Linked DNA regions of Arabidopsis thaliana. The protein of the gene in region 2 interacts with the protein of the main gene of each other region in a pairwise test. Each region holds a gene or a part of one and is shown on either strand. Other genes may lie near its edges.

Region 1 (4,915 bases), on a different chromosome or scaffold from region 2:
TGTTTTCAATATAAATGAAAAAATCTCATGAGGGTTGAATATTTGTTGGTTTTTTGGCAGGCACGTCCAAGGCTAATCGAGGCCATTGAAAAAGGTGACATCAGCGAAGTAGTGGATCCACGGCTAGAGAATGATTACGTCGAAAGTGAAGTCTATAAAATGATTGAAACGGCAGCGTCTTGTGTTAGACATTCCGCTTTAAAACGACCTCGTATGGTTCAGGTCAGAAATAGAAACACTTCTTGACTTGACCTAATAATATACAGCTAGAAAAAGAAACAAACCATCTGATTGATCAAGAGTGTTTCTCTTTTTGCAGGTTGTTAGAGCTCTGGACACGAGAGATGACTTGTCGGATCTGACAAACGGAGTTAAAGTGGGTCAAAGTAGGGTCTACGACTCCGGTCAATACAGTAATGAGATTCGAATTTTCAGACGAGCCTCTGAAGATTCCTCGGATCTTGGTACTAATACTGGCTACTACCCTAGCCAAGACTACGCCACTAGCCATGAATATGAATCTGAGAGCCGAGCCTTCAACACAAGTCACCGGAACCATTGAAACCAATAAATTAAACTCAAGTTGTTGTGTTTTGTTTTTCTTAGTTCTTAGGGACGACGACCCTTTAGAATTATATTTGTGAAAGATCTTAATGAAAACCCAATGACAAACCAGAAGAATGTATAGTTTCAAACATGTAAACTGTCACCTAAAAGCTTGTGAGAAATCATATCTCTAGCAGTAACTTGTGACTGAAGCAAACAAAACATTTGACCTTTTGAGGTTATGTACTCTGTTTTACTGAGTTTTCATATTGAAGTTATCATCATCTTGAGCAGTAAATCTCTCAATATTCCACATGCAATCCCGTCTTTGTTCGCCTAAGAATGAATAAATCCAAAACTGTTTATCAGAATTCAAGAATCTGAGATTACGTGCAGGGGCAATGAGATGTGATTACGTTACTACCTTGACATTGAGAACGGTCATGACTGTGAGATCGAGTCTGGTGAAATTGACGTCAATGATCTCAAGTTCACATAAATCTACAGCTTCTATCAACCTCTTGAATCCATCTTGTTTATGTTCCTGCACAACCCGAATCAAGAAATCTCGCTCACCAGTCTCGTGGACTTCAATTTTCACCTGAAAAGAAACCAGAGTTTGTGGGATTTTACAACTCAGATATAGATTATCTTGAAGGTCTATATATTCGAATAATACCTCGTTTTTCTTCACTCTCTTGTTGCTTTTAGAGGAAACTCTTTCAGCTTCTGGATCAGCTATTGCAGATTGTTCCTCTGCAGCGATTTCTTTGCATTCCATCTCATTGATTCCTTTAAGCTCATCTTCAAGTTTCTGCTTCTCCACTAGCAGTTCATTGATGTAATCAACAGCATCACTGAAAATTCCAATTTTGTTCAACTGCATATAGCACAAAGAAAGATAAATATAATAATCCTATGGAAAGTGCTACATTGACCACAAGAAGAGTGATCCAGAAACTGCATTGAGTTTCAGAAGAAACCTTTGTGATTTTAGGGACTACGGCTCTTAGACCATACATGGCCTGATTAATTCTCTCTCTTCTTTTCCTCTCTGAATGAAGGTTCTTTGATTTGAAGTTTTCCGTAGGAAGCAGCTTCTTATTAGCTTTGGAATCGTTGGCATTTTGCACCACAACATCCTTTTCCTTGTTCATTATCAAACACGGTGTTTGTTCCTCCCTGAGAATTTCCACACAACTAGCATTCGGGTAATTGCCGAAAAGATTCTGAGTTTCACTGGAGGGATTGGAAACACTTGATGATCCGCCGCCCTCAACGCTGAGATTCACACCGCTACTCATAGATTCCTCTGCTCGGGGAATGATCCTGAACTGCAGCCTTTGTTCAGGGAATGGTTCAAAGAAGGTGGTACAACGCGACATGATCAAATGCACCATGCTTTCATCAAACGGTCTCTGATACAGACCAACATTTTATGAAGTAACCACCAAAACCAATGACAGACTTTCTATGCGAAATGCTAACATGTTTTTACCATATCGAAAGCGAACAGCTCAACGAGACCATCACTCACAGGAACAAGAACACGAGTGCTGAACATTTCCTGCCAAAACACATGGAGATCAGATTGTTCTTATGATCAAACGAGTAAAAAAGGCTGACGAAAAGAGTCTTTTTTACCATTTTAGATCCTGAATTAACCAACCACTTTGGAGATTTTGACATCACTACTTCTCCATGAATCCTGCAATTGAGAAAGAAGCTTCATATTATTCTTGAAGAAAAAATTAACTTGAAAGGGGGTTGAATAGATGGAAACATACCCGGGATAGAGAGGCATGAAGAGAGGAAAACGAGAAAGCGCTTCACAAGCTAAGGTTCTTATACGATGCTTGTTGTGGTCATCTCTACAGAAAGAAGCCTTCTTTTTTCTCCCAGTTCCTCCTTCTTCTGAGTTTTCAAGCTTTATATTCTTATCAATATAACAACCACTGCAGCAGCATCCCACCCATTCAATAAACCTGTAGTTTAAATGGAATTCATACCAATTACGAGATGAAGATCATAAAACCCACAAACTTTTAGTAAAACTAGACAAGACAAAACCAAGAACAGGAGGTAGATGGTAAAGCAAAACAAACCATAAACCATTAAAATCAAAAACCAGATGAGCAAAAAAAAAAAAAAACAGAAACCAGAGAAATTTGATAGAACAGAGCCAGAAGTTACTAAGGACTAATCAAAATCAAAAAAATGGAAACTTTGCTACTGAAACAAAATAGTTTCAGGAAGCCAATAACAGAGCAAAAACAAAAAAAAAAGTCCTAATTCAGAAAGCAAAGATAAAAGACAAACACGAAAAACCCATCAGTATACATAAAAACGGAAGCTTTGCTACTGAAACAAAATAGTAGACAGCTGATGATGATTCACATGAACAACGAACAAATAACAAAGAAAAACCGGAGAGTGTGTTGAACCTAGAAGGATCATCACCGAGTTTCCAGATAACACATAAGTCCCAAGTTCTGGAATCGACAAAGGGTCGAAGAAACTCCTTCACTCTCTCACCACCTCTCATCATCATCATCTCACTCTCTCTCTCTCTCTCTCTCACTCTCTCTCTCTCTCTCTCTCTCTTACTCTCACTCTCTCAATCAACAATAAGAAAAGCCAAACAAGAAGCCTGAGTTTTGGTGATCTCTTTTGGTCTTACTTATAAATTGATGCAAGGAGAGAGGGAGAGAGAGAGAGATATTTGGCATATATATACAAAGCAGTTGCTCTGTCAAAACAAATCATATCGGGAATATACGATCGTACAAGACAATGGTAACCAACTTCACTTTTTGAATTAAAACCCAGAGAGAGAGAAAGAAAGAAGAGTGAATCGTCTGCGAGTCTCTGTACCCAAATCCGTGACAGAGGTGACTGTGACATCTGTAGAGAGAGAAGATAGGGTAAGAAAAAGAGAGGTTTTACTCTTGACTGTACGAAGAAAGCTATCATGTGCTTGAAAACGGCCATAAAGGGATTTGAAGCAAAACAAAGTACTGTATCTGTATGGGTTTTGATAGCAACACTCAACAATATGAAATGAGCTAGCTTTTTTTTTTCTGATAAAACCCATCCTCTGTACTATTTACTTTAACAAGGAAAGAGCTTTGATAGCTTTATTACTTTCAAAAGAAAAGTTTGGACCTTTGGTTCTGTTTTTGGGGTTTGTACTCTTGTTTCATGTGAAGAGAGGTATTTGGAATATGTCTTTACCAAAAAAGAGCTCAAAGATACCTTTTAAATTATTATTACAGCTAATTTATGGCTATTTTGTATCTAATTAATCAATCAAATGAGAAATGAAAAGAATGAAACTTGAATCAGACGAAAACTGTCAAAATGAATAATTTTTTAACAAGTCAAAGCTCAAGTTTAAAATTTTCCCGTCCTTTTTAAAAGCTCAACCATTTTCATCAGTCATCACTGGCAAGTTAAGAGGTATAAAATGGCGAAATATGGTGATAATATTAATGTAGTGTTATATGGAGAAATAGATGCCAATGTATACATTTGTACAGATATATAACAATTGCATACGCCAATACAATGTCTTATGTCTATGGTCATTGTTGTTCTTCCATAATGGAACCAATTGATCCAAATCTAAGGACATGACAATTTATTAACATTGCTAAGCTTAATAGAAGGTACCTTGTGTTCATAACCCGAATCAGACAGCCTTCTCAGACCAAGTATACAGTTCTGGTTAGGGTGGTGGTTATGATGACGGTTATTATTGACATCCTTAGCCCACAGTGGATAAAGTTTGAACCTTTTTACTGATAAGTCCACAGAAGTCGTTACCTTAACGTAGATCAAAAATCTCGAACCTAAGGTTCGAGTTCTTGTAGACGTTTGAGCAATGCTCATAAACTGGGTTCCCATCTTCTGGTTCTTTGTGCGGGTGGAATCCAGTCTCTGAGCAGCCTCTCAGTACCTCCATTCCTCCAGGGTCCGTTAGCTTAAATATCCCGTAACTCCTGCCAAAAAGATCAGTTTGAGAGTCTATCAAGGAAATATGTTGACTGTATAATTGACTCCATAGCTTTGGAAGAACATACTTAGAGCTATCAGTTGGAGCTACGACGATTGCAAAAGCCTCTGGCACCATTACCTAAGAATGACATGATGGGAAACTGAGATCAGAATTGTCTCAAACCTAGTATATATGCAATTTGGAAACAGCAGAGATGTACCTGATACGAATAATGTGTATGCAGATCTACAGATGACATGAAACAACCCTGAGAAGGATGAGTCTGGAAAATATGCATAACCTCGTTATAGTAAGTCAAGACAAAGTAGATAAACAGATCACTAAACATGGAGGGAGCTAGAAGAGAGAGAT
Region 2 (4,717 bases):
CACAGACATACTTTATTTTAAATGTGAAAATAGACTTCAAAACAAAAAAATACACATGAACGTGTTCGAAATAGGGAATAAGCAAAAAGGGTGACAGACAACGAGCAAAGACAAGAGCGTTGAGACAAAATCACATCCTTGTTTTTTTGTTTTAGATCTAAAACAAATTAACATTCACTAATTGATAGTACATTTTTTGTTTTGTCAAAGCCTAATTGATAGTACACATTATTAAATAAAAGCTTAAACACGTAATTCAACGGTAAATGAAAAATCGTAAAAAGAACCAGATTAAAATTGGCTCATTGTAAAAAGAACCACTGAAAATGTAAGCAAGTTTCTTAATTTCTAGTTAGAAAACCAGAATCGATAAAGAAGCAATGGTTTATAAATTCCGGACTGATGATTATTCTCAAACTTTTCAAACGACACGGCCCACTGGCCCATTAAGAGCAATATGAAACGTAAGGTAAATATGAGCAAGAGCATTTGTTAAAAAAAAAAACGCAAGAGATTAAAATGTGGTCGAAAAACGAAACCGATAAAGCTAGAAGAAATATATAGAGTTAGACAAAATCCAGACAAAGAGCCTCAGCTCTAGCTCTAACTTTAACTCTAGCTAAATAAACTTGAAAATTACCAAAGTGATTAATAACTTAATCAGTCATTAGAGGGGTATCACAAAAGTTATTAAAAAGCAATAAACTACTCCATAAGTGTGTCTGGAATCTAGTAGCCGTTGCTAGGAACAGCTTCCATGTACTGCTTCTCCACGACCTCCATCAATGTGTCTGCAATTCCACTTGCATACACACAAGATCCTTCACAAATCTGCCTCAAACCAAATTGAAAAAGATTAGTTTATTGGTTTGGAGTTAATAACAGAACTATATTAGTGAGACATTTTCATTACCTTAGTGTTGAACAAGAAGCTGTAATGTTCACCAATCTGTCCACCTGCAACATGGTGAAGATCTAGCTGAAGCTGATCAAGAACTTTGGTGGTGAACAACAAACAGTTAATCTTCTTCTTCTGAACAAGCTTGATGGTTACTTCATCATCGATTATACGTACATCGACCTCAGTGACTTTCGATTTCCTCTTAAGCCATGAACATCTCAGTGAGTTGTTGTTGTTCTTGTTGAAGCAAGACTGGTCTACTTCGCTCTGTGGCTTGTAATTCACAGTGTCTTCTTCTTCTTCTTGATCTTCTCCTCCTCCTCCTTCACCAACTCTAGCTCTCTTCTTGCTCCTGAATCTCCCACATCTCTTCTTCTCCACAAGCATCTTAAACTCCTCTATTGTCCTTAAAAGCTCTTTGATGTAATCTATCGCCTCTCCAACTATCGATGCTCTATCAATCTACAGAGATTAAACCAACAATGTCTCTCATTTCATAGTCTCCTCATACACATTAACAACATGAATTGAAATCAAAGCAAAGTAAAGTATATACCTTTGTGGGATTTGGAATGAGGTTCTTTAAGTCGAAGAAACGATCATTGAAGTGAACTCGTCTCTCACGTTCTGTAGGGGAAGTTCTCGACTTTCTTGATCCTCTTCCTTTACGAGTAACTCCATTGTTAAACTCAAGAATCTCATTCTCAAATCCACCATTGTTGTTGTTTGCTCCTTCAAAGTACAAAACATTCATTCCTCCATTAGCATCCATCTGAATTTGATCTTCAACTCCAAGTAAACAAGAGCCGTTTCTTAGCTGGTTCTGATCTCTAGGCTGCATAGGGAAATTCAAATGGAAGAGAGGGTCGTACATAACAGCAGCAGCAGAAGAAGAAGACATAATGTCTGAGAAAGAGGTAGGTAGCATAGAGGAAGGATGATGATTAGGAGGCAATGAGCATCTAGGCAAGTGTAAGAGACTAAGCAAATCAGGAGTTGTTGCAGAGTTAGGTCCCAAATTCACAAAATCCTGATACCCATTATCCCAATTAGAGTGTTGTTGTTGATGTGAAGCCATTTGGTGAATCAAATTGTTGTGGAGTTGATCACAAGGAGGAGGTGGTGGAGGAGGAGGATTGATGTGAAACTGGAGAGGTGTTGAAGAAGCTTGAGGACAATCTTGTGGGCTGAGATGGAATTCAGAGAGCTCTTCTACCTCAACACTGCAGTTGCTGTTGCTTGTGCTTCCGGCAACCAGAACTTGCGGTGGTGGTGGTGGTGGTTCGGCTTGAGAGAAGCTACTCTCCACCGTAACTTCTGCTGGAGTGTTGGGATCGAAACAACCCATTTCCTCGTAAAGGCTTTCTCTTTCTTCTGCGTTTGTAACTCAAACACTAATTTAGATCTTCCAGAACGAAAAAGGTAGCAACTTTCATGAGAAATTAGACCAAATAATGAAATTTTGTTACCTTCCATGGAAATGGTTCAACGAGTACTCTAGATGATTCTTTAACACCTGCAAATCAAAAGTAACATTCAACAATCTTTAAGAAGAAGAAAAACCAAAAATTTGAAACTAATTTCAAAAAAAGTTAGCTCTTTTATAATTTTGGAAACGAAACCATAGAAATGTTTGTTAGGATCCAAAAGATTAAACATTGGGTTAAGGGTTTGAATTTGACAATAGATAGAAAGAGATGTAAGATAATGAGTAATCAGAGCTGGGAAAATTAGAACCTTTGTTACAATTAATTCTTCTCTACGTCTGTCTTCTCAATTTTCAGGAGAAGAAGTAAGTTTTTTAAACAAGAGTCTCTCTCTCCCTCTCTGTGTTTGAAATATACGGACATTTGTAGATGGAGACACACAATACAATAAGGGTAAAAAGATGGCAAAGTTAAATTATTGGATAACATGTATATTCTAGGTGTCTAATTTAAACGAAAATGTTGTATATAATCCATTAAGCTATGTTTCTAATCCAACTTTGATGCATGATTTATTAAGGTTTTGATTTGTTACATGGTTTGTGAAATTACTTCTTGTTTATAGTCATTTTTTAAATCATTTTCTATGCAACTTATTTTTTGATTAATCATTTCAAATGTTGAAACCTGATTACCAAATACCAATATGATCCTAAACATATCTTTTAACACTTAACCAGTTGTAAGAAAATTAGCATTGTATATATTTCTTTTACGTTATAAGCTCACTTTTAAGAAAATATAAATTGGGTTTTTTTTGGGGGCTGTTTTGGTTGGAGCATGTGATTTATCATTGTGGCCAAACATAAAGGTTGGTTAGAAGAATCAACAGATGGGTCCCTTGCCGAATCTCTCAGGTCTTTTCAACGACTTTAGGGGTATTTCCGTCATTATCAGCAAATACGATCTTCTCTCTGACCAATATGATATGGGCTCCACTAACTCACACCGACAAACCAAGTAGCCCCGTTTGCTCTTTCCCATTTCTACCCTTTTCCTTTCATTTTAGTAAAATTTGGATAAAAATATCCCAAATACAAAATTGTAATTGATAAAAGTATTTTAACGCGAAACTATTTTCTTGTCTTAGATGTATGTTTTACTTCTATAATTAATCTCATGTTTAATATGTGTTATGTTTATGCAATCGTATTTTATTATATACTCGAATTGAAAAAACTCTTCGACTTAATACAAGAACCAAAAATACTAATGCACGGTTTAAATGGATATGTTTTGTATATAAAAAGTGTTCAGTTTTAATTTATGGATGATTAACTACCTTATCATCAACAATCATGGAATTATTTATCACATCATCTAGTTTGATTCATCTATACGTTGTACATGGCATTGATAAAACTTATGTATGTATATCATAGTTAAATAGAAGTATAAATACTTAAACCCCTGGGTTTTCTAATTTTATAAGTAAACTGTGTTCAACAACTAAACCATCATAGAATAGTTTCTATCTCAAACACTTCCTGTAATGTATATCGACAACTCACTTAATTAATCTAATTTAACACTTCCTTTCTTTGTGTATAATCGATAACATAAAATGATAAAATAAAAATTCATCCATAAGAAAAATATTTAGATACTTGAAGAGATGTATAATAGAGAATCTGGTAAAAAAATAACATGGACTGTATTGAATATAAATAATTCATTTCATTCATATATGTTTATATTTCAATCTTTTCTATTAAATTTTTCTAAATAAATAACAATTTTGGATCAAACTAATTGTATAAGTTTCCTTGTTGAGCGGTTGGGTCATGCGATTTCTGTTTATAGCAAAGAGAGCGGGTTGTTTGAGAAGTAGTGGAAGTAGGTCCCACATCCAAGAATGGGATAATAATATACTTTATATTTGATTTAGTAAAAAAAAGAATTAGGGTTATTCTTGAAATTCGACAGAAACTGAAAAAATTCTGGTCACCTACCTCTCTCGTACACGGTACACTGCGACTGTCCCCATCCTAACTAAACAGTACAAACTCTGATTACTCAGAAAATGTTAAAATGTATTGCCGGACCAAACCAACGATTTGGTTTTTGATATATTAAAAATGTAGTGCCGCTTGATTCGGTCCATACATAGCCAATAGTTTCAGAAAAGGGGTTGGGTTGGATTCATTTAGGTAATGAATCGTATCATTTTTATTTTATTTGACGGTTGCACTACAGATATTTCATAGAAATTGATATTAGTTTAACAGGGCCTGCACTTCTCTAAAAATTATCGGTCTACAAACCCGACTTAACCGGTCTAAAACACACGTCACAATATCTCTAACAATAGACAAGTCTATTCAAAGTG
Region 3 (3,282 bases), on a different chromosome or scaffold from region 2:
TCATTGAGAGTGGAAACTATAAATTATTTTATATTGTTAATCAAATATGTCGTGGAGTAGGGAAAGTCAGAGATGATAAAGGTATATTATTATTTTTATAAAAAAATAGTTAATAGGTTAGGAAAATGTCTTTTGATTTTGGCTCTATTGAATAGTTTTGATATTTGAATAAAAAAACTTAGGTTTCTACCAACTTCCAACCTTACACAAATGAACATCACTATTCACTACTCACCATTTGGATGGTTGAAATTAAATGGGCTCAACTTGAGAATGGCCCATTTAAGAGCTAATTCATTCTAAGCCCATTTTAAAAAGAAACCCCCATTGCTCGGATCCTAGAGATAATATCTAGTGTTTTCTTTCTTTGACCTCAAACAGAGGATCATGAACATTTTGCAGCAACATATATGAAGACAAGAAGAAGCTCATTGGCTTGTAACACAAACTCTTTTTCATCTGAATCATATCATATTTAAAATGGAACAACAATGTAATAAAAACCAATGGAAATGTTATTAGATCAAGAAATTTCCAAGATGTATATAATTAATACTTATGGATTGCTTCTCATAACTTCCAAAAGAAAATCTTTTGTCTGTTCAACATCACAGAGTTCCTGTGTCTGAACAGAGGCACTAATAAGAATTGCTCCATTTGAAGTTGTTAGACTAATATCGATAATCTCGAATCCGAGAAATCTCATAACCTCCATGAATTTAGTAAAGATCCCATCTCTCTTCTCTGTTATGATCTTTAACCAAAACTTCCTCTCCCCAATCTTACACAATTGCACATTCTCCTGTCCCAAAAATAAAAAATCATCAAGAAAGATAAAGAAAATGAATCAAAAATCGATTAGAGAAATTTTAAAAACCTCGATTCCGAGTTTCTTCATCTCTTCGTTAAGATCACTAGTTTCAACTTCAGGTTTTATCATTGGATCCGTTTGTTCTTCATCAATCTCAGGAGGAGCTTCTTCCATTTCATGAAATGTCTCTAAGAGATTCTTAACATTGTTTTGAAGCTCTCCTATGTAAGTAATCGCATCTTCAACAATACTTGCTTTAGTCATCTGAAAACGAAACAAAAACAACAACAATCATCACCAAAATACCCATAAAATAATAATCGAGATTTGGGACTTACGTTGGTGACAATGGGGACATGAGATCGCAGAGCCATAAGCCGACAATGAAGCTTCTCTCTTCTACGTCTCTCTGCTTCAAGATTTGGAGATTTGAAGTTTTCATCTTCTTCCTTCTCTTTTGTTACTTGTTTCCTACGGCTCATCCTCACTGGTTCTTGAAATCTGCTTCCTCCACCCATTTATTTCTTCTTCTTTGATAATTTTTCAGACAAAAGTGTTTATATTCTTATTTATGTAATGGTGGTAAAAGACATGAGTTATATAGTTGCTTCTCATGTAGATAGAAGTCTGTTAGTGGAGAGAGAATAAAAGAGAGAATCTTAGTCTCAGTTTGTTATTAAGTGAATGTGATTTCAGTTAGAGTCAAATACAGAGACTAAAATAACAATTTTTGTTTTCATTATAGAGAGAAAAAACAATTTATGACGAATTGAGGAATCTTCTTATTCAAGGGTTCAAAACACGAATCCTTACAGACAAAGGAATGGTAACATTTCGAGTCCCATCAGTCCAAGTGAAACTACCAAAGAAAAAACCAGTGTTACTCTTATGACTCGACGAAACCCTAACTTTAAACCCAAGTTTCTTCGTGTTCGAACAGAACACTAGAGTCTCTGGTTCAACAACAATCTCCACACCTCGCGGAGGCTCGACCACGGCTCTGTAAACTGAGTCCACAGGTCCAACGTTAGTCACCGTTCTTGTGACGGTCACTTCTTCTTCAAGGTCGGGAATCGTGATGGCGGGATAGTTAAGATCGAGGATAGACGGTAATGGAGACGAGCATTTTGTGGGTTTTCCCGTGATTATAGTGATTGATGTATCGTTGTAACCAGTGGCGCAGAAATAGTGAATGTAATCGTCGATGTTCATGTCATAAACTAGTCCTGGATCTTTGGCTCTTTCCGCGTTCACGAGTCCTGCACCGTAGTCAAATGGATCAGCCAGTTTCCGTGGTTCTCCCTCCGCAAAGATTGGTTCCCCGGATGGATCAGTCTTCCATGCTATAATAACAAGAGAAGAAACTCTGGTAAGATTAAATTAACGAATGGTGGTTTTCTGGTGAGGAGAAGAAAGTGGTTTTCCATTTTCAAGAACCTGTAGTCATAATAGCAGATTTTAGCGCAGCAGGAGACCAGTCAGGGTGTAAAGCTTTGAGTAGTACGACGAGCCCCGCAACAACGGGAGTGGCATAGGATGTCCCTGTGCCTAGAAAATAACCGCCGAAAGAATCGGGGTAGGCTTGAGATGTAGCTCCTAAAATCGTCACACCAGGGGCTGCTATATCAGGCTGCATCATTTATAAACCCAAAGAAATTTCCATCATTAACAGGTGATCCTTAAATTGGAAACGACAGACAAGATTTTGAAACACTGTTTAGGGAAAGAACCTTGAGAATGGCAGGAGAGAGTCCATTAGGCCCTCTAGATGAGAATCCGCAAACTTGAGTCGCAATAGGACGTCCTACGAGCGTTTTACCAGTACTAATTTTAATCGTGGGAGAACTGAAGAGACCGCAAGCCATAAGAAGATGATCAGTTTTACATACTCTATGTGACTCGGAAGGATGATCAATCACAAAAAATATAAAATAAAGGATAGTATACCTTGACGAGCGGATGTATCGTAGAATCTTAGCTCCGACTTCATAGTCTACGTAGATGAATGGTTGATTATAGACAATATCACTTTGATAATCACCACTTCGTGCCACGATCAGCCCCGCCGCCTTGTTGATAGTTGTAGTCGCCAATGCGCTTGCCATTTCCCAATCTTCTTTCACAAACGTCAGGACAACTTTTCCCAGCATGCTAGAGGTGTCGGTTTTATAGTGTTCAATGTAAACTAAACCAGCAGATACTTCCTTACCTGTATATTGAGCTTGACCCTGAAACAGTTTTTAAGGGAAAAGAGTAAGTTTCCAAGACTAGTGAAACCCGATGGTGAAAAGACCTGAAAAAACATTTCACATACAATTATGGTAATGTTATTTCCAAAAGTCATGTCTGCATAAAAGGTACGGTCTATGTTAGTTGCAGCGACTGTGAGCATCCATGGGAATACATTAGCCACAGTGTAAGCTTCGGGGCCTGTATTAGAGGCACCAGCTATAACCGGAATGCCCTTCATC

Evidence for each region. Proteins that work in one complex are often made in the same cells at the same time.
Region 1: the proteins of AT2G31220 (region 2) and AT1G10610 interact in binary tests that used the Arabidopsis thaliana proteins (3 or more experiments, as listed by UniProt).
Region 3: the proteins of AT2G31220 (region 2) and DYT1 interact in a two-hybrid assay, tested with the Arabidopsis thaliana proteins (one study listed by BioGRID).

What each region holds. Positions count from the first base shown.
Region 1 is NC_003070.9:3,504,648-3,509,562, reverse strand, and holds AT1G10610 (basic helix-loop-helix (bHLH) DNA-binding superfamily protein), read right to left. Parts: upstream 3,378-4,915; 5' UTR 3,101-3,377; coding exon 2,991-3,100; intron 2,685-2,990; exon of another isoform or gene 2,532-2,684; coding exon 2,334-2,531; intron 2,255-2,333; coding exon 2,191-2,254; intron 2,114-2,190; coding exon 2,045-2,113; intron 1,965-2,044; coding exon 1,530-1,964; intron 1,427-1,529; coding exon 1,226-1,426; intron 1,148-1,225; coding exon 971-1,147; intron 883-970; coding exon 811-882; 3' UTR 563-810; downstream 1-562. Other genes in the region: PERK11 (Protein kinase superfamily protein), read left to right, coding at 61-222, 320-562; AMSH2 (associated molecule with the SH3 domain of STAM 2), read right to left, coding at 4,373-4,547, 4,629-4,681, 4,764-4,826.
Region 2 is NC_003071.7:13,300,674-13,305,390, reverse strand, and holds AT2G31220 (basic helix-loop-helix (bHLH) DNA-binding superfamily protein), read right to left. Parts: upstream 2,726-4,717; 5' UTR 2,639-2,725; intron 2,418-2,638; 5' UTR 2,378-2,417; coding exon 2,371-2,377; intron 2,319-2,370; exon of another isoform or gene 2,276-2,318; coding exon 1,458-2,275; intron 1,364-1,457; coding exon 914-1,363; intron 832-913; coding exon 730-831; 3' UTR 522-729; downstream 1-521.
Region 3 is NC_003075.7:11,347,969-11,351,250, reverse strand, and holds DYT1 (basic helix-loop-helix (bHLH) DNA-binding superfamily protein), read right to left. Parts: upstream 1,330-3,282; coding exon 1,150-1,329; intron 1,076-1,149; coding exon 878-1,075; intron 803-877; coding exon 557-802; downstream 1-556. UniProt on the Arabidopsis thaliana protein: Transcription factor. Involved in the control of tapetum development. Required for male fertility and pollen differentiation, especially during callose deposition.